Linked DNA regions of Rhinolophus ferrumequinum. The protein of the gene in region 4 interacts with the protein of the main gene of each other region in a pairwise test. Links are inferred from orthologs where the notes say so. Each region holds a gene or a part of one and is shown on either strand. Other genes may lie near its edges. The genes, in order: USP15, TXN2, GRAP and TRIM21.

The links.
Region 1: the proteins of TRIM21 (region 4) and USP15 interact in binary tests that used the Homo sapiens proteins (3 or more experiments, as listed by UniProt). The link is inferred for Rhinolophus ferrumequinum from reciprocal best matches to the Homo sapiens genes TRIM21 and USP15.
Region 2: the proteins of TRIM21 (region 4) and TXN2 interact in binary tests that used the Homo sapiens proteins (3 or more experiments, as listed by UniProt). The two-hybrid records come from large-scale screens. The link is inferred for Rhinolophus ferrumequinum from reciprocal best matches to the Homo sapiens genes TRIM21 and TXN2.
Region 3: the proteins of TRIM21 (region 4) and GRAP interact in binary tests that used the Homo sapiens proteins (3 or more experiments, as listed by UniProt). The two-hybrid records come from large-scale screens. The link is inferred for Rhinolophus ferrumequinum from reciprocal best matches to the Homo sapiens genes TRIM21 and GRAP.

The regions. Positions count from the first base shown.
Region 1 is NC_046293.1:60,021,586-60,028,925, reverse strand, and holds the start of USP15 (ubiquitin carboxyl-terminal hydrolase 15), read right to left. Parts: upstream 3,011-7,340; 5' UTR 2,941-3,010; coding exon 2,852-2,940; intron 1-2,851. UniProt on the Homo sapiens protein: Hydrolase that removes conjugated ubiquitin from target proteins and regulates various pathways such as the TGF-beta receptor signaling, NF-kappa-B and RNF41/NRDP1-PRKN pathways.
Region 2 is NC_046293.1:10,210,763-10,217,855, reverse strand, and holds the start of TXN2 (thioredoxin, mitochondrial), read right to left. Parts: upstream 3,012-7,093; 5' UTR 2,857-3,011; intron 2,851-2,856; exon of another isoform or gene 2,716-2,850; intron 2,090-2,715; 5' UTR 2,065-2,089; coding exon 1,802-2,064; intron 1-1,801.
Region 3 is NC_046304.1:306,253-313,825, reverse strand, and holds the start of GRAP (GRB2-related adapter protein), read right to left. Parts: upstream 3,023-7,573; 5' UTR 2,915-3,022; coding exon 2,837-2,914; intron 1-2,836. UniProt on the Homo sapiens protein: Couples signals from receptor and cytoplasmic tyrosine kinases to the Ras signaling pathway. Plays a role in the inner ear and in hearing.
Region 4 is NC_046294.1:47,069,246-47,076,244, reverse strand, and holds the start of TRIM21 (E3 ubiquitin-protein ligase TRIM21), read right to left. Parts: upstream 3,020-6,999; 5' UTR 2,897-3,019; intron 2,791-2,896; 5' UTR 2,645-2,790; exon of another isoform or gene 2,580-2,644; intron 1,923-2,579; 5' UTR 1,886-1,922; coding exon 1,478-1,885; intron 998-1,477; coding exon 902-997; intron 1-901. UniProt on the Homo sapiens protein: E3 ubiquitin-protein ligase whose activity is dependent on E2 enzymes, UBE2D1, UBE2D2, UBE2E1 and UBE2E2.

The DNA.
Region 1 (7,340 bases), on a different chromosome or scaffold from region 4:
AGTGTAGATCAGTGTTACTTTCATACCTCACCTTTTTAAGAGGTATAACTCTCTTGCATCAATTTTGACTTTTTTGCGATTATAAAGTCTAGTACAAGCATATCATAAAGTTTGTGTCTCCTCATCTCAGACTTGTGTAACTTATTTTCATCTCTAGAAAGTCAGTTTGCAGGTAAAAATCATTCACTATTTACAAATAAACAGAAACTCTAGTATCCACGCAGAATCAAATCTTTATCCTTGTCCAGGTGTTAAGAGTTAGTTACCAGAATACAAGACAATCCTATCCACAAAGTGCTCACAACCTAGTTAATGAAATTTATTCATCTTAATACATGTGACTATAACATCAAACATCAGTATTAAACTTTCAAGAATAAATTTATGGTAAACCTACTATTTTTTCTCAATAGTCCAGTCTTTCCAAGACGGTTATATACATATACCAAGAAAATGTTCCTTTTGCATATGGCCCATTTTAGCTATAAGACAGGGTTTGCCAAATACCCATAAATGATTAATCCAAATAGTAAAAGAAAATTAAAAAGAGAAACAACTTTTTAATGAGTTAAAAACTAATTTTTAATGAGTTCCAAAAACATAAGCCCAAACAACAAATGATTAAGTATCTTTACCAGTTCTGTACTTAGGAATACATTATCAAATTTGTACTTATCAAATTATTGTCCCTAAAACTGAATCAAACTTTTGCTAAAACAAAACAAAAACACAAACTTCTGCTTTACATTACTTCCGTTTTTGACAGGTTTCACCTGCTAATTGCAAGTAAACTAGCTCACATATTAAACCAAACTGGTCTCTGCAACTCCTCAGTACTATCTTGCTCCTGTATTTTTCCCCCTTAAAATAAGCAAAGAAACCAATGTGAGAATAAATTCTACTGTTACCTAAATATCTGCGCTTCGGTTTCCTTCTCTTTAAAATAAAAACATCAAAATGTTCAAATTTATGAACTTCCTTTATTTACTCTTTAAAACGATTTGTAGTAACCTTGTCAAAAAGCAAAAATACTTTCATTTGAAAAATACTGTACCAAACTTTAAAAAGTTTAGTGCCTACAATAAACATACTGCTCCTATCATCATGTAGAGTCAACAATACCATTAATACTGATTATACCAAAAACATAACGATATTAAAGAGAATATCTATGTAAATGATATCCATATTTTAACTTAAAATAGATTTCTGTTTTATGAAAATCCACATTTATCTCTTTATAAGGTGGTAATAGGCTAGGTGAATTAAGAATTGTTAAGTGTTCTTCAACAAACAATAGCAAGGATTCATTTCATCTTTAACAATCCATAGGCCAAGGTGAACGTGTGTCCTAGGAAATGTCCAATTTCCCCACAGTAATAAACATCTCAAGAACACTCCAATATGAACAATAACATTTATTAAATAATATTTTTGCTCTAATGCAACAAATACACGTTTATGCCCTTGAGATCAGCATATAAACATAGTATGTAGCTATGTAACAAGTAGGAAAAAAGTATCAAGACTTAGATAAAATACTTAAATTCAAGTCCCAAGTCTGCTATTAGCTTACTTGAAAATGATCCTAACCATCACACCATTTTATCAGCATTGATGGCGATAAAAATGCAACTAAAATTTAATGTTATCTCATAAACAGAAAATCTTTTAACTATTTCATTGTATCAAGTTAAAACCCCTATAAAGAAATTATTATCGTCCATTTCATAGATGAAGATACTGAGGTGCAATGATTGAAATGAACTTTCCTCAAAGTCATACTGCAAGTTAAATGGTGGAACAGTGAGTCTTTCAGGTCTAAATCTTATGCTCTTTCTACTAACCCACGTTGGAGCACATGAAAAAACACTCTGTAATATATATACCACTGTTATGGTGATCATGAGAAGTGGAAATATTTTTTATTATAATAAAGAGGCACATTATCCTTCCTAATAAACAGAGCACCTTTTGTTACACATTCATATATTGAAGTTATTCTGGATGCCACTTGATATGGCCGACAAGTATTAAAATCTCTACATACTTCCTCCAGTATTTTAAGTATACCCTTTGATATTTTATAAGTTTGTATATTAACAAGTGACTTAAGCCTCAAGTGGACTTATCTACTTTTTGCAGGCCTATGTTATCCTTCAACCAGGAGGGAAGGGCTGCACTTCTAAGAAACGCTGCCGGTTTCTACCAAGCCTCTACTACAGCACAAGACCACGTGGTATCTCATAAGCCTAAGGTTTCCTACTCCTTCCTCTCCCTCCTTTTGACAAGGAACTGGAAACTAAGGTTTCCTTCTCTTAAGTGGCTCCCTGACACATGCCACCTGTGTAGTACGAACCGAACCGCAAACACCCTGCAGCCTGCCTCCCGGAAGAATACAAGAATCAGAATAATAGGGAACTTGGATGCCGACAATGCCGGGAAAGGAAATGACTGCATAAGTAAAGCGGGTGAGATAGTGATAAGCCGCGGGACCAGGACCTGTCAAACATCAAGAAATTCACGCTGAGCCACTGTAACCTATCCTTCGGGAAAGGCCTTAGGTGGGAGCGGCACTACGGAAGGAAGGAGGACGAATAGAACTACACGAGCCGCCACTGCCGCTCACCGTAAGCCTCTCGGCCTGTCTCGATAAGCCACGAACCCTGACCCTCATCTCGGGTCCAATCTTCGCCCCAACATTTCCGGAGTGGCCAAAATCCTGCTGCCCAGGGCGGCCGCCGCCGGACCTGCCCGCACCTGTCACTAGCGAAAGACACCAGTCCGCAGTTCCTGCCCAGTTCCCCACCATCCTCGAGCAATCGCGGCCACCTCAACCCCTTTCCCTCACCAGGTGTCCCCTTTCCGCAGCGAGGTTTTGAGCAGCGACGCGATGTCAGACCGCTGGATGTCCAGATCCGCCGCTCCGCCTTCCGCCATCTTCTTCCACTAGCGGCAGCGGAGGCGGCAGCGACGGCGGCGGCACGCCCCGGAGCATTGTGGGAATGGCGTCCCGGGGCCCCTCCCAGTCAGCAGGTCGAAACCAAAAGAGATGTAAAGGGGGGGAGCTCCTTCGCCCTGAGGGCGGACTGAGTGCAATGCCGTGGTCTGCTGCCCCCCATCGGCCCTCGCTCGTCCAGCATCTCGCCTTGGCCTCCCGCCCCGGGACCGCCTGGTTTCAACTGTCCTCGGTGGGGCTTCGGTCCTCTCTGGCTTGAGCGGTGCCACCGCCCCGTCCATCCTTGACTTCAGCCCTCTCCTCCCTCTTTCCCACAGACGCCTGAAAACCCCTATTTGCGCATTCATTCACGCTTGAGGGAAGGGTCGGTTAGGGTGGGCGGGGTGGGGGACGTGGGGACGACCAAGATATGGCAGAAATTTTAACAGCCCCGTGACTAGTCATTTCGTTGCGAGTCACAGAACCCAGGCTCGGTTTGGCTCAAACAAAGAACAATCCGAAACCGAACGTTTCGCTGCAATGCCCTTCCTGGGCTCCTTCCTGCGCTCCTACTCCTGCCGTAGGTGGAGAGCTTTTATAAGCTTTTTGAGACGCCTCCCCAGGCACACCCAGGTTGCTAAGCTGCAGTGAAAAACAACTTCCAGTTCCTGGAACCCGGTGTAAAATGTGTGTCGAGTAATGCCAGGTACTAAAGGAAAAGAAAACGTGCAAGAAACCCACTCTCCTGGATGTCATAAAGTAGCATTTTATTAGCCACATCTTCCTATGGTGTGTACACCTGGAACTAGGTAATAATACCAACTTTGATTTGAAGCCAATTGTTAACAAATGAGGAAACTGAATCTCTCAAAAGTCAAATGCCAAGGTCACAAAGAAGAGACGCAAGTATATAACCCAAGTTCCAAAGCCCGCGTGCTGTTTAGTATCAACTATAGCACGCTCACTACTTCTTATGAGAGCCTGAACTATAATTTAAACTGGGCTACACTGGAGCCATTTTTTTTTTATCTCTGTATACCTGGTGGCTAGCACGGTGCTGCCTAATATATAACCATCTAAATAATTGTTTAATAAGTTAATGGTGGCAAAACCGCGTATTTCCAAGCATAAGATGTACAGACATTTTACTGTAACATAAATCATGTGAAAAGTCTAAAAGATGGATAAGAATTCCTGCATGATGTCTCGTTTCCCCATTTTTAATGTCTATATTAGCTCATTTGGTGGGAATGCAGTAAAAGTGGGTGTAATTATGCTAGTAAGAAGTACTGAACCCTTCCAAATTAAAGTATTGGCATTATGATTTTTGTATGTTAGCATCATGATTGCTTATTTTCTTCATTATAATACCATTTTGTATTATCTTGTCATCCTTAATTTCAGAGTCTAAAAACAGCTTCCATTTGCTATTTCTTATCTTTTGACAGGTTCAAAAACTAGAATTTTTCTAACCATGAGTGCCGTCAAAGGTCACATTTCCCCCTTTCCCAGACAACCTCTGAAAGAGAGCAAAGTAATTTTCCAAAGAGAGACAACATGATTTGGGAAGAATACTGGAGTCATAGGAACATGAGTTCAAACCTCACCTGAACCTCTAGCTACAACATACTTACCTTTTATTTCATTTTTAAAGTTAGGGGTAGTAATACTTACCTTAAAGGATTTTTATGAAGATTAAGTGAAACAATATGTGTTTATTGCCTGGGACATAATAACCAACCAATAAATACTACTGTTGTTTACTGATGATAGGATGAATTGTATAGTATATAAATTATATCTCAATAAAGCTGTTGAAAACAATCATTATAAACTTTGAAGGCAAAACCATCCTCTATATCATTTTACAAACATAACATAATTGAGAAGTGGTGCCTCATACACTCTGTTGTCCAGTTTCTTTTTAAAAAAATGCATTTTTGAAATGTTGACGCCTGTATCCATGCAACAAAGTAAAATAAACTTTTCTTCATTTGTATCATATTCCAAGCAATGAGTTAATTGGATATAGATGTGTAAGTTCAATGTCAATTTGAATTATAGATCAGATTTATGAGGTCATTTTGTAGACCTAAGTATTTGCTTTCAGGGTTAGGAAAGAAATAATAGTTACAGTATTTTATTTAACAAACACCTACAGAGTACCAAGCCTAGTTTTAAACACTTTAAGGTAGTAACTTGAGCCTCATAGCAACACTATGAGGTATTATTATTTCCATTCTGTAGGTGAAGAGTTGAGGCAGGTGGCAGAAACCAAATTTGAAACCAAGCAGTCCAGCAGCCAGAGTCTAGAAGTTTGGATAGGCTTTTATTTTTCTGCTAAACTTTATGGTCTTAATTATAGCAATCAACTTTCTAGTGACCTCAGTCTACTAATTTTTGGAAATTCTGCTTATTTGACTTATGCTGCTCTACCCTCGATTATGAAGAAAAATAAGATGTTCATAAATACTAGATTGGTTAGGGTCCACATCTGCATTGAAAAACTAAGTAGATGATGAGAAATGTTACTTTCCCTCAAGTCACACAGAAAATTGAGTATAAGCCAAGGATTACATCTGCTTATTTGGAATGCATATTCTTCATTGACGCTTGCCTTGGTTAACTTTATAAGAACATAGTATTTGCTTGGTAATTGTCATTAACTTCTCAGGTTCTCTGTATCTTTCTTGACCGTTAACAACTTAACTTACAGCTTTGACAAGGGAAAAGGAGCATGCTGAGTACTTCAGAAAGTAGGTTTGGTATGAACAAAGTGCACCTTACATAAAGTAGAGTAGGTTTTGAAGTTAGTCTAGAAAGGATCTTCCAAATAATTCTCCTCTCTGCTCACCAATACTTCTTCAGAAAGGTTCTTGTATTCAACAATCAAGAGATAGGAGTTCAAATGTAAACACTGTTGGAAAGAGTAAGCTTAAAACTAAGGTTCAAAGTAGGTCTGGTTTTCAGCCAGGGATGGACCAGAGAAAGAAATAATTTTTTTTAATAAATAAAATAAATAAATAAATAAAAATAATTTTTTTTAAATAAAGCTGAGTGGTAGAAAGTACAAAAGAGAATTCTAAGACGAGTTTTACCTCCTTCACAATTTTGGTTGGTGCTGGCTGGTTACATGAGCCTAAGGAAAAAACTGCCAGAATCAGCACATCCTCTGAAAGAACAATGATTGATGACCTACCGTGTTTCCCCGAAAATAAGACGTAGCCGGACAATCAGCTCTAATGCGTCTTTTGGAGCGAAAATTAATATAAGACCCGGTATTGTATTGTATTATATTATATTATATTTATTATATTATATTACATTATATTATTATATAAGACCGGGTCTTATAGTAAAATAAGACCGGGTCTTATATTAATTTTTGCTCCAAAAGACGCATTGCAGCTATTGGTGCGGCTAGGTCTTATTTTCAGGGAAACACGGTAGCTGTCTATTTCTTAACACTTCCTATCTTTGGTTTTCAGAAACCAGTTTCACTTTTTCTTTCCACTTTGTGTTTCCTCTACAGTTATTCCCTCCTCACCCCCAATTTTATTCACTGCTCTAAACCTTTCTCTCTTTTTAGTAATTTTGTAACTGTTCTTTCTTTACTAGCTCTCTGAACAGCTAAAAGGCAGTGGAGAGGTGGGGGAATAGTGTAAACACCCAAACAGCATGTAGTAAAGTGCTTAATCTGCTAATGATATTTTGAAACATGAGACATGAATAAAAATTGTCAGTGTCAGGATGCAGTTTTTAAAAACAAACAAATAATATAGAGGCTCCTTATTTCAGACAAATGTTAGAGCCTGATAAAGACGAAGAAAAAGTAGTGAAATGAATACAGTGTCTTGTACAAAGGGAGAGTATACTTGGATTTGGACTCTGGCTCAGTGCCAATAACTAGCTGGGTGACTTAGGCCAAGTTATTTAATCTCTGTGAGCATTAGTTTTCTCATTATAAAGTAAGGTGATTAGACTCTTCCAGGGCTGCAACTCAAATGCCTGCGAGGGTTAGATAGAGTTAGTGTGAATGGATGAAGCCCACCTGTTGTAAAATAGTAAGGAATTGTGGCAACTCTGACAAACTGTCTGCCCCAACTAAAGCTATTCAAATTAAAAAATTAGAACAAACAAAATTATAGTTTTTACCCTAAAGGACCTGGAAAGTTTGATTTTAACATGAGCATGAAGCCTGTAAATTGATTGATCCCAGTCTCTTCCCTTTTTTGTAAGCACACACAAAATGCTATGAAAGCAGCACTACCCTGAAGGTTGATGTCAGTCTACCATCTACTAGATACTCACGGAATGATGATAGATAGAGCTAAACTGAATTGAATCAATAAATAATAAAATAGTCTTATAGGTCTAGAATTATAACAAAAAAAAATCCTGA
Region 2 (7,093 bases), on a different chromosome or scaffold from region 4:
AACGTGCTCACCAACCGACGTACGGGCCCCCAGAACCTTCTCTTGACACATATCTTACTGAAGGACTTTTGTCCTTATTACCTCTGTTTACAGTGTTTGAATATTAACCTGTGATGTTGACATCCCAAACGGTAACGTCAGCAGACTCTGCAACTGGAGAAGTCTCACAGGTCCCTAACTTCTAAGACACAGGCCTGATCTCAAGACTCTGATAAAGGTTCTTTCACTTATTTCGGTACGTCTAAAAGAAACACACTGTCATGCAGACGAACATGGGATTTGAAGCAAAAAGGTTTGGATGCAAAGAGAGGCTCCTGACGCACCAGCTGACCGTTCTAGGGCCCGTTTCCCCATTTGAAAAAGAGAGACTATACCTCTCAAAGCTGTAATGAGAAATCCACTAAGTAAGATCATGTGGATAAATATGCTTTGTCAGCTGAATAATTACTTCACACACCTCATTGACTCGGAACTAAAAGGAGGAGAAACCAGGGGTTAGGGAGTGTCTAATACGCCAGGACCTTCTCAGCTTTCACTTCATAGAACCCTCAACCATGAGAAGGACAAGAAAACATCTAAGAAACCGAGGCCCATACAAGTTAAGAAACTTGTGCAAGGTTACAGAGCTAGTAAGAAGCACAGCTGCGACTAGAACCCAAGGTTGCGTTCTAAGTGTCTTCTTTTAGCCCCGGCCCTGTGTCAATGGCTAGTGCTGCACTAAACACAGGTGTTCCCCTCTAGGTGTTGATTCTTTGAGAACAGGCTCTCATCCCTAGGTATGTGGCACCCAGGACAGTGCCTGGCACTGAATAAACAAACTCACACCTTGCTTCCTTGTTGGAGAAGAAAATGAAGCATCTCACCCCACTTATCGTTCATTTTGGAAACCCTGGAGTGCTCACTGTACCAGGAGGGCAGAACATGGAGTCCTGGCTGATGACTCCTATTTTATTCTTAGCCTTCAAAACCCTTTCCATTCAGATTTCAATTCATGAACTTACAACACCAAAAAAACCCAGGCTGCGAGACCTTATCTCCTATCACAAGTGAAGAAAGGGAGGGACAAGGACATCAAATGGCCTTCCCAAGGCGACATGGTGAGTCAGAGAAAGAACAGGAAAGAAAGAACAGAAAGAATCTGTCAGAAATTTGCCCCACAAGCCTCCCAACCTGTAACTGATGCTCCACGGGCTCCTTCCAGAATATCTCATTCGGAGGGGGCTTGTCCAGTTTTCTAATAGCCTAACCAGGCCCCAAGGGCCTGGAAATGAAGGCCAGGCTAAAAAAACCAGTAGGCCGTAGGCATTTCAATATCCCGAAAACAAACTCTCACAGCACTGAAAAGAAACTCATCTTTTCCCCCGCCCATCCCCCACACCTCGGGCACCACTGCAGTGGCACTGGTCTCTTTTTGCCATCCCTTCCCAGTTTTGGTGGTTAAGATGTTAAAATAAAATCAGCGTTCTCGGCAGGGCCAGAAACTGACATATGCTAAAGCCAAATGCTGCTGTAGTCATATTTTTCGTGCTTTGGTCCAAGCTGAAGATGATTCTGGACCATTCAGGCAGTGAGATACACCACACAAGCGATTCCCAGCACTAACCACAGGGAACTTTGAAGACTGTTTACTAGTCCGTTTCCTATCAGACTGCACTCAATTTTAGGGAGCAGGGATTGGGTCTCCCAGTGTTTGTAGTGAGTATGTATGAGAAGCACCAACCATGGTCCTTGAGACATAGCAGGCACTCAAAAATATCCGAACAAGTGACACCCCAGTCTTCTCTTGACTCCCAGGACTCACTGTGCATGGAAATCCACAACCACTGGTGTGTCACTGTTGACAACTCGGTCTTGAAAGTCAGGTCCATCCTGGATGTTAAAGGTTGTTGAACAGACTCTGGTGCTGAATATTGAACGTGCTTGGCTGGGTGTTATTGTCAGGTTACCAGGACTGCATCGTGGGGTCTGCAGGGCCCTGGAGGTGAGGGGTTCCCGCCAACCTTGAGGCGGCTTCCTGGAGATGACAGAGGCCAGGAACCTCCTCAGGAGAAGTCGCTGAGCCATACGTCAGGGGAAGAGGCAGGAAGAGCTGTTGAAGACAACAGGAAGTCAAAACACCAGAAAAAGACAGGTATCTGGGAGTACTGGGGCTCAAGATGCAGGGCTGGAAGCAAAATACCAAGAAATAATATATAACATTTTTGCAGTAGAGGTGAGCAAATAACTAGAATTAAAGGGAAGGAATTGCAAACGAGGACAAAACTGGGTTGACAATAAAAACGAAATCAGATATTGATGGGATTATAACAGAAGGGAAGGGAGAAACCCTTATTTACGGAGCACCTGCTAAAGGCTAAATGCCTTACATACATTATAGTCCTCCCAGATCAACTCTAAGAAAGTTTCTAGAGTATTGCCCGTATTACAGATAAGGAATCCGAGGCTCAGTTAAGCTGTGACACTCCCAAAGTAGCCCAACTGTAAAATGAGAGTCAACACTGGAACCCAAGGCTGTCTGCAAAATCCTTACTCTGTCGATTACTTTTTTAAAAAGTGTTTTAATGGGAAATTAAGGAAAAAGGGGGCTTGTCAAAGGATCAGGAAAGAGGAACCACAACAATTCCAGGAGGAACTAAAAGGCACAGAAACAGGAGTCTGGGGGAGAACTAAAAAAGGAACGCGCGTGTGGAGGGAACGGGGGAAAGCGGACGTCACCAGGGACCCCGGCTCTCCGGAGGGCAGGTCCTCCGGCCCGGGGCCTCCGCCCACTCAGCCATCGGACGCCATAGGAACGCGCCCGCAGCGTGCTTCAGCCGGGGCACCACCTCGAGCCACCCGCGTCCCCGGGCCTCCTACCTCCCCGCAGCACGAACGGAGAGACGCACAGCCCGGCCCACCCCGCCTGTCAAGGGCACTCCTGCCGTCACTTCCTTAGAGGAGGGCCTTTGATCGTCACTTCCGGGCAGGCAACCTGGAGGGGCAGCTGGGATTTTCCGCCAATGGGGATGGCGGAGGAAGGAACACTTAAAGGGGCGGAACCTCAGTTAGGGATCGGAAGAGAGGGACTCTAGTAGGGAGAGACCGGAAAATGGGGGGCGGGATTTTGGGGAGGGACCGGAAAAGGCGGTTGCTGTCGGGGGAGGGACCGGAAGAAGTGGGCGGGCCATATACGAGGGTCCGGAAGAGGAGGTGAAAGGAAGCAGGAACTGGAGGGAGGTACGAGAGGAAGAAATAGGATGGGGATGGCGGGTAAGAGAGGTGTAGTTCTGGAGTTTGCAAAGTCAGGCTGCTTTAACTTCAACCAGCGCTGCCTACCCCTGTGCCTCATTCATTGTCTTCCAAAAACTTCTAGGTGCTGGAAGGTTCTTTCATTTTACCCATGAGGAAGCTAAGCTCCTAAAAGGTGTAGTGCGGATTAATGGAAAGACCCTGACTGGGAGTCAAGAGGCCGCTTTTTGGCCCTTGTCTGTAACTCACAACTGTATGACCTCGGGCTTTGGAGCAAGTCAGCCAGCCCCAGGGGACTTCAGTGTCCCAGTATGTGACATGAAGGGCTGGGCTTGTCATTGACCTCTTTGGAGTTGCTGGGGGAACTGGTTACCCGCAAGGCGCCAGACGGTGGTGATACTTGGAGGGTCTGCCTTTGAAGCTAGGTCAAGTGTGGTGACCTGTGAACCGGCTTGGGCCTGGGCCTTAGTTGCACACTGAGGGTTTAGAGCTAGTCGCCCCAAGATGTACGTCTGTGGTATGTGGATTATATTGAGCTAAGGGCAGTTTTAGCTTCAGGCTCAAGAGAAACTTCTGCCCCTCCCATTAACTAACTCCCTACAGAGCTTGAATTAGGGGGCTTTGCCCATAATAAGAGATTATCAGCAATAATCTCTTTTTGACCCGCCTGTTGGGCAAACGTCTATTTACGAAACATCTGCTCCTAATCGTTTTGCAGTGACTCTGTAAGCCACCAGCACATCTTATTTCATCCCTAGCTCAGGATGCCTGATATACCCACATGGGTTCCCTTTCTGTCTCTGAACCTCTTGTGCATGTGTGTGTCTGTGGGGTTCCCATACATATTTACGTATTCAATTTGGTTCTTTTCTCTCGCTAATCTGTCTCTTGTCTATTTGGTTATTAGACCAGTTGAAAAAACCCTCATCTATTTTATTAGACCGAAAGAGCCTTGAGGTAGAAGAAAGTTTGTTCCTTCCCCACAACACCCATCATCACTGTCAGTGGACACAGGGATCTACGCACCTGTGTGTCCCCGACGTGTCACAGCTACCTCTTGTCTCCCCTGCACCCTGTACCTTACATGACAACCACTCCTGGCCTCTCACGGTTCTATGACGACATCAGTCTTTTTCTTCCTGCCTGCCTTTGCTTCACATGAAATGCTTTTTTTCTCTCTCCGTTTGGTAGATTTGGTACACGACTCATCACCTTTGAGCAGCATCAGTTGCTTCCTTCTCTCTAGTGCTTCGTTCATCACTCTTACAGAACACATCACAGTGTCGCTTTCCTAGAGCATATGCTTTCTGAAAGTAGGGATGCGTAGCTTTTAGATGACTATGTCCAGTACCAACATGGTCCAGTGCCCGATCACAGAGGACGTTCAATAGATGCTCAGTAAGCTGACCGTCTTTGGATCTCTTAGGGAGTGGCTTACAGTCAGAGGTTACGTGACTTGTCCAAGGTCATGAAGGAGGTAACTTGGCAGTCCATCTCACACCTCCATGTCAGTCTACACTCCAGCCAGTGGGAATCACAGTTCCAGAGTTTGTGTGTTTCTCCCATCCCTGTACTTTGTAGTTGCTACTCTATGACTGGAAGATTTTTCCCTCTGCCTGAGAAAATGCTACCAGATAAATGCAGATTAGGCCTCATCTCTGGAGCCCCTTCCCTGAGCCTCCTTGAATGGGAGTAGGTGCCTTCCTCTGAGCTTCCACAGCCCCTGTGCATCTGTCAGTGGCTTCTGGGGGTCTGTCTGTCTCTCCATTGCTTACCTCAGGGCTTGGCGCATCATAGAAGGTACTCGGTGATTTTTCCATGAACAGAGAGCAGGGACCCACATCAAATCTTTCCACCCTAAATTTCATTTTCCCCACCACATTGCATAGCCTCATTTTGCCTCCAAAACAATGGCCATGTTTTTTTTTTTTTCCAGTTCATCTTGACTGCATCGTGCTATGATGTGTCCGAATGGCAGGTTCACTCCCTCACTGCCCTGGTGGGCGGGTCCACAGCCACAGCAGTTCAGGGACCTTCTGGGTTGCAGGGAGGAAATACTTGCGATTGGCCCACCTCCCTGGGCCACCAGCAGCCATGTCAGCCTTACACTTTATAGTCACTGTCCATCAGCAGCAGGAGACTAGGTGAGGGTGTGGGCAGGTATGGCCTTCTCCACCCAGTCTGACCTCTTGCTTTTGCCTCTGTCCCCATGTAGGAAAGGAGCCAACAGTGGTGATGCCCCTCAGTACTCCTGGCTCTACTGAGGCCAACATCCCTTGGTGCAGCTGTTCCTCCTAATGTCAGATGCCATCTGGCAGGGCACTTCCACCCTGTCCATTTTCATTTCTGTTTTTCTGTGTCTCCAGCACTTTCAGAGCCATCGATCAACCCTATTCAGCATTTCCATAGCATTTTCTGGAAGGCCAGTTTCCTTGCTTAATTCACATTCTGAATCCAAAGGAGAACCAGTCCGATTTATTCTTGTTCCATAGGCACTTTACCTCTGTCAGCCTTAGGCTTCTCATCTGAGAAATGGGAAGATGCCTTCCTCATAGGACTGTGAGGCTGTGGGAAGGAGGGAGGACAGGGCCTGGCCCATTGTCAGTGCCTGGTGAGTGATGAATGAAGCTCCTTCCTTCCTGCAGAGAGTCTGGGAGACACATGGAGAAGGCAGCACCCTCTGGCTACAAAGGGGCTCTTGAGCTAAGGGTGGCTCGTCTGCCAAGTCATAAGGCAGGTTCAGAGCACAGGTGGGAGGCGGAAGGAAGGAAGCCAGGACTGGCAGCCTGAGCTAAGGGTAAAGCTTCTGTTGCTATCTCTTACTGATATTTATTGCAGTGTTTTTCAGACTGTGAGACGTGAGCCATGAGCCGTCAGTGGGTTTATGAAATCAGTTTAGTGGGTTATGATCAGCTTTAAAAAGACAAACAGAATTGAAAATATCGGCGTATGGTGCATCTTATAAGTATTATTTTGTTCATGTTACGTATCTGTATGTCCTAGGTTGTGATGTAGAATGTATTTCTTAACTGTGGATCGTGGTCAAAGGGTTTGAAAGCTACTGAGAGACTGAAGAGTTCCAAGCACCTGACACTGTTCTAAGCACCCTACATGTATTAACTCATTTAATCCTACAACCCTATGAGGTTGGTACTGTTACAGCCTCCAACTTACACATGGGGAAACCGAGGCATGCAGGATCGATACCTTGTCCAGGGTCACCCAGATAGTCGGAGGTGGAAGCTTAAAGGTGCTCTGCTGCCCCTAATGAGGATCTGATTGGACTAGACTGCTGCCTCTTCCCGGCTAAGTCCCAGGGACCAGCCAGCCAATCGAGGCCATCGGAGAGCGACATAGGGAATTGCAGTTGGTGGCAGGCACTGCTGCTCAGCAGTGGCCATGAGCAGAGGCACCCACGTGGTGGCACTGTGGGTCTTCCAGCCTCCTCCATGGCAGGCCCGGCTCCCTCAGGCCTGCAGGGCCGATCGCGGGGCTCAGGGCTGCGGGAAAGGTGCTTCTCTGTGCCCGTGTGTCCGAGGATTTCATGGCTGGAGGGAGGCACCTTAAAAACAAAAAGAAAGAAAGGAAACAATGCAGACAGAGGCAATGGGCCACAGTCTAAGCTGATAATGAGTTCCTCTCCAGGAGGTGTTGCTGGTAGAAGTATCTGTTTTCAGTTTCCATCTTGATGGTAATTTGTTTTTATCGCTGTTGGAGAACAATTGGAACTAGGACTTAGGTTTTGCAAATTCTAGAAGGAGGTTTCAGGTTCTGTTGTGATTCACGTTCTGTTGAGTTTCCAGCAATTACACAAAACCCCCTCAGCCCTTTCTGAAAATAAAGACCTGACACTGGCACAGCAGCA
Region 3 (7,573 bases), on a different chromosome or scaffold from region 4:
TTTGACATTTTTGTCATGTATTTTTTCTTAGTTTAAGCCACCTTCATTTCTTACCCAGTAGATTTCAACAGCCCCTCCCTGCTTCCATTCCTGTCCCCTGTGTTATCTTTTTAAAACATAAATCTGACCAAGCCATTTCCCTGATGAAAATCCTTCAGTGAGTGCACGTCACATTTAGAATGAAATCAAAATCCTTCACTGCTGCCTACCTACCAGCCTCATCCTTACCTCACCCTTCTCACTCACTGCTCTTCAAGCAGACCTTTCTCTCAAGTCTTCAAGCATATTAATATGACCCTGCCTCAGGGCCTTTGCACCAGCTATTTCCCCAGCCGGGTACTCTTGGCTCTTTGCGTGGTAGTTTCCTGTTTATCCTCCCGTCCTCAGCTCAGGGGTCACCTCTTTTGAGAGACTGCCCTGACCGCCTGCTGGTCACTGTACTCCATCTCCCTATGTTGATTTCTTCAATCCACCTCGCACCTCCTGATGTCACTTGCCCTCTGGATCGTCAGCTCCAGAAGTGCAAGAACTTTGCTTTGTTCTTTGCTGCATCCTCAGCACTTAAAACAATGCCTGGTACAGAATAGGTGCTCCATAGCTCAACAGAGAACAGACTGGTGGTCACCAGAGGCAGGGGGTGGGGGAACTGGGTGAAGGCAGTCAAAAGGCACCGACTGCCAGTTATAAGATAAGTAAGCTCTAGGGATGTAGTGTACAGCATGGTGACTACAGTTCATCATTCTATATTGTGCATTTGAAGGTTGCTGAGAGAGTAGATCTTGAAAGTTATCATCAAAAGGGAATAAATGTAACTATGTGCGGTGATGCAGGTTAAATACACTAACAGTGGCGATCATTTTGTGATACAGACATGTATCAAATCATTATGTTGCATACCTTAAACCAATACAATCTCATATGTCAATTATATCTCAATAAAACTAGAAAAAATAGCTCAACAAGTGTTGAACGAAGGAAAAGGCAGCCCCTCCCTCTGCCTTCATTCCAGCCCCTCATGTTTTGAGCTTTAAAGGTCCCCTCCTCGGTCTCCACGGACATGAGGTACAAGTCCCACTGGGAGGATACCCTAGTTTCAGCTAACATTTTAATTCTTTCCTTTCTTCCTCCCTTCATCCCTTCATCCTTCCCTCCCTCCCTCTCCCCTTCTTCCCGCTCCCCTTTCTCCCTCCCTCCCTCCCTCACTTCTTCCTTCCCTCCTTCCTTCCTTCTCTCTGTCTTATTGAAAGCCTCCTATATGCCAGGCACTGTTTCATGTCTTGGGGCTCCAGCGAGATCCCTGCCCTCATGAGCTCACTCCTTCCTCAACACACCTGGAGTTGGCTGACACTACAGCAAAGGTTAGTGGAAAACCTGACTAATCTAGGGGTGGGGATGGTGGGCGCAGGAGCCCAGGAGGGAAGTGGCGATGTGACGTCTTTGAAATTGCCTTGGAGAGCCCTCGCTGATCCACTCCGTCCACTCTGAGCCCTCCCCGTTCCTATTCCCTCACTGCTCCGCTCCCTCCCAAGCCTCAGGTCCGGCTTCAGAGACCCGAAGCTGCTCTCAGACAGTAAGTGAGGCCTCTGACTGGCTCTCGGTGGCATGCCCTGCCTGGACAGTCTCGGTGCTAAGCCCGCCCCATCCCCAGCTGGCCACATGTTCATGGGGCCCCCAACCAGCAGCTCCGGTGCACACAGGTACCAGCATCTGGCATAGAGAAAGTGGTTTCTCAAGGGGACACGGTTCCTCTTGGGGGACATCAGCCTCCCCAAACCCCCAGCCCAGCCCATTTGGCCTCACAGAGGACAGAACACAGTTTTCAGAGTCAAAGGACATAGGTCCAAATTTGACCCCATACCAAGCAAGTCATGGCGTTTTCCTGTGCCTCAGTTTAGTCACCTCTGAAATGGGGATGCCAATCTTCCCCACCTCAACAGCTTAAATGGGACACAGATACATCATTGCTGAGCTTGGGACTGGATAGTGCAGGATGCCAGCTAATGGGAGTTCTTATCCCTTCTTGTGCTTGAAACTTCGGGCCAAGCACAGGGCCCAGGGCTCAGCGTGGAGCGACATCCGTGCTAATGCCTGCAGCTATAGTGCAGGGACTGAGGCCCAGGGACAGAGGGACTTTCTCAGCATGAGTTAGTGGCAGTTACCGCGCCTAAGGCTTGCCATGGCCACTCTTGAATCCAGCCCCTGAGCTCTGCTTTCGTATGCAAACTTGTAAGCAAGGACATTTCCAGAGAGAGATCTCAGGGATCCATCTGTCTGGAACGCCCCTGGAAGGCTGCAATGTTCATTAAAAGGGCCCCAGACAAGGAGAAATGAGCTGTGGCAGGACTCTATTTTCTTTTTTCTCCATGGTGCTGGGAAGCTCATTCCTGACACTTAAATCACAGCTATTTTTATCTTAATAGGTTAGTGTGCGTACTTATTTCTTTTCTAAGAACTTCCTCCTTTCCTCCTTCTCCTCTCTCTCTCTCCCTCTCCCTACTCTCTCTTTCTCTGTCTCTCTCATCTCAACAACTGTCTTCTCAAATTCTTTGGAAAACTGGGTGCTGAACCAGCTCCTGCCAGGCACTGTGCTAATGTTTCCTTGAATCCTCACAATGGCCCCCCAAAACGGATCACTAATTATCTCCCTGTTTCCTAGATGGGGAAACTGAGGCTCAGAATGGCGAAGTGGCTTGTCCTGAATCACACAGCTGATGACTGGAGAAGCTGGGCCTGTCCTCCAGAGACTGGACTCTGTTTGGGGGGGCTCTCCTGGGCCCCTGGTTCTTAAAGCCCCCACCCCAAGTGGGGCCCACTCAGCCCGCCCTGTCCACCCTACCTTGAGTGTGTCCCCCTTGTTGAAAGCCAGCTCGTCGCTCTCCGTGGCCTGGAAGCTGTACAGGGCCACAGACTCCATCCCGCTGTCCTGGAGCCCCAGCACTGGGCTCAGAGCAGGGCTGGCAGCTTCCTGCTTCCTCTGCAGTGGAGGACCGTCTTCCTTTGTTTTGAGAGCTTGTTTGTTCTTTTGAAGCTGAGACTGAAACTGCCCCTGACAGGGGAAACAGGAAGCAAAGATCTGTCGCAGCGCACGGAGGGTGTGGGAGCAGGCCTGGCCCCACCTCAGACCCCAGAGGCCAGATTAGCCCTTGGGGAGTATCCAGGCAGCCCTGGGAATGGGTCTCCCTCCTTGTCCCCATGTTACAGATGATAAAACTGAGGTCTCCTGAGGAGAATGCTGCAAAGCCGTCCTGCCAGCTCAAGCATCGTATCTTGTGGTCCCCGCGACCCCCACCGCTGTGCCAATCTGTCCATCATATTTTCTAGACTTTGATACCTCCCCTGACTCCCGATGTCCACAACATCAACCCCAATCTCTTTTCCTGGCATTCAAGGCCCTCCCAAGCCACTGCCTCCACGCATCACCACACCCTTCTCCAGACTCGGCTCATCCTTTGTTACTCCCCTTCCTTGTAAACAAACCTCGGGCTCAGCCCCAGCTGGGGACACAGCACACGTTCATTTCATCTCCCAGGTTTTTGCCCACGCATGTCCCTCTGCCTGTTGTCCTCGCCCTCTTTCTCCTACCAGAGACTCCTATTCATCCATCAAAGCCCAGCTCAGAAGGTGTTTCTTCTGGTTTAGACACAGGGCATCTTCAGTGGGATGGAGACCCTACAGTCAAAAAGAACTGCAAATAAATCTTGAGCCTTCCTCAGTAGGTTTGTTATGGATAGTGGTACTGGGATAGCAATTCTGATTATGTGAGTATTGTGGCAAAGAGCATACACGGATAAATACGGTGATGTTGTTCTCCCCAGGGAAGAAAGGAGACACACAACTGGAAGTGGAAAGTGAGGAAGAAGCCTGTGGTGTTAGATGGGAAGGGAATTAGATGGGCCAGTGTGAAGCAAGATTAATTTTTTATGTAAAATACAATTTTTCCTCTTTCATTTATATCAGTATGGTTATATTATACTTTTATATTTTAGTCAATGGATAATAATCCATTACTATCACGATTTATTTTTGATGCTTAAATTGTCCCCGACTTGGCTTGCGGAGCCCCCTGCAAGCTGCCTCCCGGTCCTTTTGACAAGTCCCATCGTTCCCTGAGCACGTCCTAACTTTCCGACAACGTGTTTCAGGCTCGCTCGGGACTGTTTTTGCCCCAGCCCTGAAATCATCCATCTCTCCAACGAGATGGAAGATGTTTGGAGGAGGATGGTGTTTAGAAATGAGGACTGAGCTGGAGGTAGGTATGCTTATTACTGCGGTGCTGTCATTGCGTGTAGACCCTCCCTGCAGACAGAGCTAAAGAAAAAATATATATATGGATATATATATATACTCATTTATATAAACATACTCATTTTTTCATATAAACTCATTATATATGTGCTATATATAAACTCATACATATACACACACACACACACACACAAACTCATTATATATACAAACTACAAGTATGTATACATATGTATATAATGAGTTTTTGGAAGAACTATATTTCCTAAAAGACAGAGTGTGCCCATATTTCTATACTTATTTCTATGAGTGTGTATACAGTTATGGATAATAGACTGAAAACCATGAACTCAGTCAGACATGAAGTAGTGGACCTAGGTGAGGGTGGATGGATGTCTGTGCACCGTTCCTACAGATTTTCTGAAGATCTGAAAATTTTCTCTATAAAAAGTTGAGAAGATATATGTGAATCTGCAGTTATCTCAAAATAAAAGGTTTAGGTTGTTATTGTTGTTTTGTTTTGTTTTTCAGTTGCAAGGAAAGAAGAGGAAGATGGCAGAAACTCGTCGCCTGGAGCCCCCCGGTGGCGAGGTAATAGCCTCCCAAGCCTGGCTGGGCCCATCTGAGAGCCTCACGTGGTCTCAGCTCCCAGCCCCTTCCTGTCTTCTGCCTGCCCCAGACCCCAGGGTGACAGGATGTAATATGGCTTCTCTTTCCGGCTCAGTTTCAGCTGAGGTTTCAAAGCCTCAGAATGGTGCTATCGGGGGGTTGAGACGCACTCCACCCTAAATCTGAGGCACCTGGAGGCGAGCAAGCAGGGGCTCCCTTTATGAAGCTGAGCATGTGTCCTCTGGGGCTTGTGAACCAGGTGGGTGTTTTATTCTATGTTTTTTATTTTATTTTTTCATTCTATGTTTTTCAAAGTACTTATTCTGTGCAAGTCATGCATAAAAAGATCGTACAGCTGGTGAGTGGCAGGGCTGGGGTTCACATCCAGGCCGACGTGAGCCCAGGCCCGTGACACAGCCCCGTGCCACGCGGCCCCCGCCTGGAGCCTGCGCTGTCTGTCACACAGTGACAGTGAGTCAAGAGAGCCGTGCGGGAGTGAGCAGCACATCCTCATGGGCGGGCCAATGGGCCCAGTTCCAGGACCACACAATAGGACTTGACTGAGAGGTTCAGGCACCCAAACTGAGCGTGGGTGCCGGGGCCTAGAAGGAGGGCGCCTCAGAGTTGGCATCTGGGGGAGCACCTAGCCCCATAACACAGCTGCAGCTGGGCTCACCATGGGCGGTCCCTCCAAAGCTGCCACAGGAGGAAAAACTCAGCATTGGCCACTGGTCACTGGCCACAGCGAACCAGCCATGTCCTTAGTCCCTAACCCCCTGTGCAGGCTGATGAACGGGCCAAAGACATCCGAGTCCTAATCCCTGGAACCTGTGAACATCCCCTTAGATGGTGTGGGGGTTCAGAACAAACCACCCCAAGATGTGCCTCAGTGGTATGCAGATTATTTTGAACTAAAGGCAATTTTAGCTTTGGGTTCAAGAGAAACTTCTGCCCTTCCCTTTAACTACCTAGAAGAACTTTTATTAGGGGTCTTGCCCCTAGTAAAAGATTATCAGAGAATATCTTTTTGACCCACCTGTATGGCAGAGAAAACTTTTATTTACTAAACACCTGCCCTTATTATCATCCTGCAATGACCCTTTGAAGCCCCCAAGGTGCATTGCCTCATCCCAGGCTCAGAATGTCTTACATACCTACATCCCCCTTCCTGTCTGTGAACCTCTCCTGTCACTGACCCTCATGTATGCGGGGTTCCCATACATAGGTGTGTATGCAATTTGGTTTTTTTCCTCTTGATAATCTCTAGACCAGCCCAAAGAACCACGAGGGTAGAGGAACGTTTGTTCTTCACCTACGACGACAAGGTCAGGGTCTTGAGATGGGGAGATGATCCTGGATTATCCAGGGGGCCCTAAATGTCATCTCAAGTGTCCTCACAAGAGGAAGCTTGGACACAGAAGAAGCAGGTGATGTGACTGAAGCACAATGCTACACTGCTGGCTTTGAAGATGAAGGAAGGGGCCACGAGCCAAGGGATGCAAGGAGCACAGTTGTAGAAGCTGAGAGAGGCACGATGGGCCTCCCCTGGAGGCTCCCGAACGGCCAGCCCTGCGATGCCCCAACTTTGGCCCAGTGAGAGTGGCTGTGGACTTCAGAACTTCAAAAATAGATAATCATTTTTGTTGTTAAAACCACTTACACTTGTGGTGACTTGTTACAGCAGCCACAGAAAACAAAAACACCCCCTCTCCTTTGGGCTGAGCCCAAGGGGGTGACTCTCAGAAATGGCAGCTTGAGACTAGGAAATGGAGACAGAGAAGAAATTGACCATGACTTCCCATTCCAGGGCCAGAGCTGAGGTGGAGGGGAGGGCATCGGGGACTGTAATTTCAATGAAGGTTGGAGTTCTGTAATTGTTAGACGAAACTGGACCTTTGAACACTCCGAAGAGGCTGGTAGGGGGGTATTTTTTACCACCCAGATTGACTGAAAATCTTAGGGACCTCCCTAAGTTTTCATCCTGGGGCAAGGAAGTTCAATAAGAAAGTGGAGAGAGAATCTAAAGAACAGAATAAATGAGCAAACAAATCACAAACAGGCACATAGATACAGAGAACAAACTGATGGTAGCTAGATGAGCAGGGGTTGGTGGATGGGGGAGAAAGGTGAAGAGATAAGGAAGTACAAATTGATAGTCACAAAATAGCCATGAGCATGTGAAATCCAGTATGGGGAATACAGTCACTAATATTGTAATAGCATGGTACGGTGTCAGGTGGTTGCTGAACTTACCATGGTGATCACTTCTTTAGGTATATAAATGTTGAAAAACTGTGGTCTATCCCTGAAGCTAATATAGTATTGTATGTTAGCTATATTTTTAATAAAAAATTTAAAAAAGAAAGTTCTCCCTAAGTTCCTTGACCATCCTTATAGCCATTGTTTTGAATTTGGTATCTGGTAGGTTTCTTGTCTCTATTTCATTTAATTCGTTTTCTGGAGTTTTGTCCTGTTCTTTCATTTGAGACATATTTCTTTGTTTCCTCATTTTGGCTGCCTCTCTGTGTTTTTTTCTATGTATTAGATAGATCTGCTATGTCTCCCAGTCTTGACCAGGTGGCCTTATGTAGTAGGTGCCTTGTGAGGCCCTAGCACAGTCTCCCTGATCACCTGCTCCAAGTGCTCCAAGAGTGTCCCTTGTGTGGGTTGTGTGTGCCCTCCTGTTATAGTTCAACTTTGATTGTTTTTGGCATGTCAG
Region 4 (6,999 bases):
GAACGGGATTGGTGGGGGAGGGTGCATTGTAGCTGCCCTACAACCACTGCTGCATTGGCCCATGTTACCAGAGACTTTCAACCTCTTTCAAAACCCAGTCAGCACCCACGTATGTCCTTTTGTCTTCCTATCTTGGAGAATTACTAAGACAGTAACACCTGTCCCCATCCCAACAAGCTCACAAAGATAACACCATTCTTAAGTCCTGGGGAAAGAACGTCTTTGTGATATTCTTTGCTTGCCCTTTTGTGTTAGTGATTGAAGAGTCACCGGATAACACAGGATGACCCTTTTTGCCACCACAGGCTGGTACACTTCCCCGGTCCCAAATCTTCCTCTTCTGGGTTCTACTGGTCATGAGTTCCTTCCACTCCTCTGGCCCTGACCCACCCCACCTCCAAATCACCAGTGCAGGACAAGCTTTAGTTCTCCGTTCTGTTTGAACCAGTGATCTGGACATGGTTAAGCAATCACCTGGTCAGACTGGTTTTCCTACCTCAGGCCTTGGTGGTTCCCTTACGTCTGTTCATCACAGCCCTTGTCATTTCCTAACAGGCCTAGCCACTGGTCATCTCTCCTGGAATACCTGTCCCAGACACCGTGGTGTGGTCATCCCCTAAGACTGGGCTCAAGGAAGAGGAGATTTAGGGTATGGCTTGTCCCTCAGTACCTTCTCCTAAGACTTGATCTTTGTGTCTGATTGGGAGTTCTCTTTGAGCTTCATACTCTTTATGCCCCTCTATCAGGAGACCTAGAGGACTGTTGGTTTTTGAAGAGTGAGATACACACACTCTATCACTCCTCAGACAGGCACAGCTATGGTCAGGGCTTTCTTGAGGCCAGGACCCTGGACCCTGCCTAGGCTTCTGATCTAAGATTCCCTTTGGGATATGACTCTTGCCTTCCAGTCTGTTCTCTTTGTAGCAATATCCACTTCCAACTTCTCAACCGACTCTTGTTCTTGTCTCAGTTTCCCTAATGCCACCTGGAGCTTCTCCTGCACAGAAAGATAGCAGGTTAATGTCCGACCAGATCAAGAAGTAGGGTGGGGTAGCATGAGGTGGGGGAAGGTTTACTGGTTCTTAGAAAAGCTTGTGTGTAGAGAAGGGAGGACTAGTCTGATTGGGGTAGGAATTTTGTGGAAAGGAAAACTTTGGAAAAAGCCTCATGTTTCTTACAAAACAGAGCCACATTGTTGGGGTGGCAGGGGTGAGGGCACTACTTATTCCTAACTAACCAGGAAGCCACAGGGAATCATGATCCTTGCATCATTTTACCATAGCGTCGCCCCTGCTCCTGGGGAATGAGAAGGCTGTGCTGACCCTTAATTTAGACATAAAAAGTGGGGGACACCCATTCTTTCTCTAATCTCTTTACTCTATGGGTGACTCTCTCCCATCCCAGCTCTGGGGAACAAAGCACTCATCAGGGCCCCCTCTCCTTTCTACCTGTTCATGCCTCTGTGCCAAGGCCTCACCTGGTATTCCTGAGCAGCCTCCTCAATCGGGACCATGGGATGGTCACGGTGTTTCCGGGACTGGGAACACACCCAGCAAAGGGTGGTCCCATCTTTCTCGCAGAATAGGTGAAGTTTCTCTCCATGTACTCTACATTGCTTCTTCTGTGTGCCCTCCTTGGCATTCTGGCTGATTTGTCTTAGGTTGTCTACCAGGTTGGCTAGCTGGCGATTTGGCCGGAAGTTCCTGAGCAGGAATTTGTTCCGGCACACAGGACAGACACTGCCTCCACCTTTCCCAACCTGAGAGATACATTCGTTGCAGAAGCTGTGGCCACATTCAATGCTCACAGGCTCCACCATAGGATCCAGGCAGACAGGGCATGTGACTTCCTCCCACATCATTGCCAAGGGCATTGCTGAGGCCATGAGGGGAAATGTTTCTATGAAGTGGCACTATGGAGATCTTGCAGTGACATAATGGGGAGAGGAGAAAAGGAAGGAAGACGACGAGAAAGGTTGTGTGAGAAAAGCGAAAAAAATTAAAAGGCAAACATGAGGGAGAGTGACCGGTAGGGGTTAAAACACAAGAACATTAAGCTGAATGACAAGAGCTTCTCCCCCCCAGTCTGCTCCATTGATCCAGTCACACAGAAGGGGGAAGTGAATCCCCAAAAGACAGTGAAGTTGTTGGGAACTTCAGCAATAAAGCTGTTCACAATTCTACTTTTATCACATTTATCTCTGCTTAAACCCTCAGTGCCCAGGCTTTTCCCATCCATCTTCTCCCATCTCAGGCCATCAGTTCCTTATATATAGTAACATGAATATATACAGAAGAATATATTTATTCTTGTAAGTATATACGTATATCTGTAGGTGCACCTATATATGCATATATGTATACGTATCTGTATATGTATATATGTGTATATGTTTATACAGACACGAATGTGTGGTTAGCACTCAGCACTCCAGGCCCTTCTCTCGGCTACTCCACCCTAGCAGCTTCATTTCCTCCAGGGCATAGATCTATAAACTTCTAACATCCTAAACAACTCTGTCCCTCTCTCCTCCAGAAAGAGACTTTTGGAGATGGGAGTCTCAAGGATTGCAGACCTACCCTGCACCGGGCCCTCCTGGCCCACCCTGCCTCCTAGGTTTCTGGCCTGGTGCTCCCAGCTTCACCTGGCCGCTCGTCCCAGCTCTAGTGCCAGCAACAGGGCAGCCCGAGCTCCTTCCAGGTGACTTGGTCCCGTTCACAGCCCAGCCTCCTCCCAGGGCAGCCGAGTCAGCGCGGGAAAAACTGCTGGGTTAGGGCTGAGTGAGCCCTGCTGCGGAGAAGGTAAAACTGAGAGTGAAGGTTCTAGGGGTGGGCACTGGTTGGAAGGGGCTTCTCAGGGAGGACTGGGGTACCTTGGTCTAGCCAAGTTCACTCACCTTTTCAGGGACTCAGCAGATGGCAGCCGGCTTTTTATTTCACTTTCGATTCCTCTAAAAGGGAAGTCTGAACGGGAGGTAGGCACACGCCCGAGAGTAGGAGGAGCAAGAGGAGGAGAGTACACTGAAGGGGTGGGGAGGGCAGGAGAGGGAAGAGGAAGTGGGAGGAGAGAAGGAGGAGTGGAGGGTCTCAGTATCCGAAGCTGCTGACACCTCTGTCTAGTGCTTCTTGGAGGTTGGGACTGAGTGGAAGCTCCGCAGCGTTTAGTTCTTACTTCGTGCTCCCTCCCATGTCCTCATTGTCTAATACAGTAAAATATCGTATCCACTAGATGGAAGCGTCATCACCCCATGCCAACATGCTATGCCTACGTTTGGGAGCTCTTAGGGAGGTTTGGATGGAGAGGAGAGTGCCTGGAGCTCTCCCTCACATGCCACCATCTGCTGCCTGCTTTCAGAAACAATTCCTTTTCAGGCGATTCAATATTTTAACTTAAGGGTGTAAAAGATTTATTGTGCTTGACCCCAAGGCAGATATCACACCAGTGAGTGGTAAGAAGGGAATTGACAGTTAGTTGTTGAACACCAACTGGGTTCTTGTCACTGAGCTAGGGAGTTTCTCAGGTTACTATTATTTTTATTTTAAAAATTGTAAAATACACCGGACATAAAACTTACCATCTTAATCATTTTTAGGTGTATAGTTTGGAGGCATTACATACATTCACATTGTTGTGTAATTATCACTACTATCCATCCATAGAACTTTTTTTCATCATGCCAAGCTGAAATTGTACCCGTTAAACAATGATTCCCCACTCAGCCTCTGGCAACCACCATTCTATTTTCTGCCTCTATGAATTTGACTATTTTAGGTACCTCATATAAGCGAAATCACACAGTATTTGTCCTTTTGTGTGACTTACTTCACTTAGGGTAATGTGCATGTTGAAGCATGTGACAGGATTTCCTTGCTTTTTAAGGTTGAATAATTTCCATTGTATGTTTATCCATTCATCTGTTGATGGACATTTGAGTGACAACTTCCACCTTTCGACTATTGTGAATAGTGCTGCTATGTCAGGTTATATTATTTAAGCTGCACAACATTTTAGTGATTTAGGGGTTGTTAAACTCATATTACAAAAGAGGACACTGAGCCTGAACGGAGTGTAGTGACTTGTTTGAAGTGACATAGTAAGCATACTTGTATGATAACTAAAGGGCCAGGGAAGATCCTCATTTTAGTGACAGCTGGGACATAACAGGCTGCCCTGTCAGTTCAAGCAGAGGCTTTAGGAACAGCTGGAAGGGATGTTGTTATAGTTGTAGAGGAGGAAGGAGCAAAGAGGAAGGCTAGAAGAATCCTCAATTCCTTTCAACTCTGACATTCTTTTTCTTTTTTGTTCTTTTATAACTTAAGGTAAAAACATCAGTTGAACTTTGCTTGGTATTTTCTATAGATTTAGGAAATGTAAAAACATTTCATGCTTTTTTGAAATTTCTAGTTCTGTTTTTAAGATAATTTACTTAATGCAAGCAATGTGAAAACAGAATGAAAAAAAAAATCCAAGGAAGAAGAGACCTGTACGTGAACTTGCACTCAGAAAAGGACTGGGCTTAACACCACTGCAGCCCCTTTGTTGTTTCCTGCAGGCACAGAGTTAAGCAAGCTACTGTCGGTGGAGGTAGAAAAGAGCAGAGGTCTCACTATAGGACAGGATTCAGTACCAACCCTGCTGTTTACTAGGTATGTACGACCTCTCTGAGCTTCAATTTATTAATTAAATTAGGATATCAATATTTATCCTAATATTTATCCTAATATCTATCAATATTTATCCAGGGTTGCTTTGGTATTGTTCAATAATATGCACACAGATATTTTAACATGCATAACCGCAACAGTCCCCATCTTGGCAATTGGCTATATGAATAATGTTGCCACTCATTTCAAGTCCCCTCACTCACTGCCAGTACTTTAACACTTCAGTGTTCTTTCCTGGTGAGGTGACCCATACCTTCATTCTTGAAAGATCAGTGTTCTCAATGTTCCTGTTTTTAACACATTGGCCATTGCTGTTGGACAATGATATCTAGGAATCTCTCTAATGTGTATTTTCGGTTTTAGGCATAGTCTTTCTTGCCCCTATCACATACCAGCAACCCCAGTTCTCCTTGGTCATAGAGGTAACTCATTCCAGCCAGTATAGAAACCCCATCCTCTTCCTATTTCTTCAGTGGCTTAAGAATCCCCAAAGAGCCAGGAGTAGTTGCAAATTCCCATTTCTTAGAACTAGATTTGCTTACTCTGGTGGAAGGGTTTCTCCTTGTTTTTACAAGACCCTCCAAACAGGGCTGAGCCATATGTTGAGGGATGGAAAGAAAACTTTCCGTAAATGAATTACTAGTTTGATGGTAACAGAGGCCACTTCCACTTTTCCTCTTGATTCTGTGACGAGTGTATGTATACAGGATATGAAAAAAAAGTCACCATATATTAGTTGCTGACTTTAAGCATGTACCAGAATTTATGAGACCACCTAATAATCTCGCAGGGTGGGGTTTCCAAACTGGTGCCATCCCTGAGCCTTTAGTGAGGCATCCCATAGCTTTATTGGTCCACCTTTTCCTGGCTGACGGTGTACATTGTAAGATCAGTGCATTCCACAGGGCAATCCCATTATCAGAATTCTTTGATTGTAAAATCAGATCCTTGGTTGCAGGTGATATTGTCGGGATAGCCTGATGGTGTAAGTTTAAAAATGGTGGTGCTGGCAGAACCAATTTAGAGGGTTTAGGGGGCCAAATGAATTGGTCTCTGGAATATTACCCAACTTGTGAGGACAAATTGCTCTTCGTTCAATGTAACTAACTGTCTTGATTCTCTTAGAAATAGGGAAGAATCTGGCTCAGAGTTGGCCTTTTATGTCCAAGTGCCTACAGCAGCAGGGATAGAGGCTCTGCCTGAGTATGCATTTGCTCTCACTAAGGTTTATCTGTTTACCACTATGGATAAGGATTCTTGTACATAAACCCATTGACCAAGCAACAGGTGACTGGGGCAGAGGCTCAGCAACATCGACGGGGTGAATCATCTTATTTATCTGGTTAGAGGTACCTTCTCTGCATTGTATGTTCTCTAGTGGGTATTCACACGGAACAAAAGCATTTTCACACTCTGGATACTTTCCTGGAAGTTCCATGTGTCCTTCTACCCATAACTCTGTTACCAGCCTTTCAATCTTGTTTTCTTATTTTTCAGCTCCTGACCTGCAGGCCAACCTGTTAGACACGGTGAAGGTGGTATATAAGTAACGTACACCAATTCATCTTTTCTCTCAAGCAAAGTATAGAACCACTTGCTTCAAATACGGTCCACTGGGAAGATTTTCCTTTATCCTTGTCTTACAGGGTGAAATGTATTGGACGCCAATCTTGGCACCATCTCAGATTCCCTCTCATCCTCTTACTCAGCACCCTATCAGTGCTGGGACACCACTCCATACTCATACTGTCACATTTGGATGAAACATCACACTGCAGGGTGTGCGATCCAGATTTCTGAACAGCCATTATAGGCAAATGACATAAGCAAAAAGTACAGGGAGTTAGTTTTCCATGACGTGAACATTGACCGATGAGAAATGGGAGATAGGAGTGGGACAAATAAAATCCCCTCCTTTCTCTCCTCTGGACAATTTCAAGGCGAAGTTCCTCACTGCAGTTCTTCTCGTGAGCAAGCCCACTGGCTGATGGCTGTGTCCTTTTGAAACTCATGAATCATTATCCAGTGTGATAATGCATTTCATTGTTCTACATTTTTTCTTGCCTCACTTCCCTTCCCCCAACTCTGAGTGCCCTCTCTCTCTCTCTCTCTCTCTCTCTCTCTCTCTCTCTCTCTCTCTCTCTCTCTCTCTCTCTCTCTCTCTCTCTCTTTCTCCTCTCCTTGCCTGGTGAATAAAGATCACTAATTTAATCCTACTCCAATTTCATCTGGATGACCTGGTTAATCTTCCTCCAATATTTGCAATGCCTAAACCCAGGTAGAAACCAGATCACCGGAGCCTGGGAAACCCAGCAGTCAGGGATTAACCTCTGAC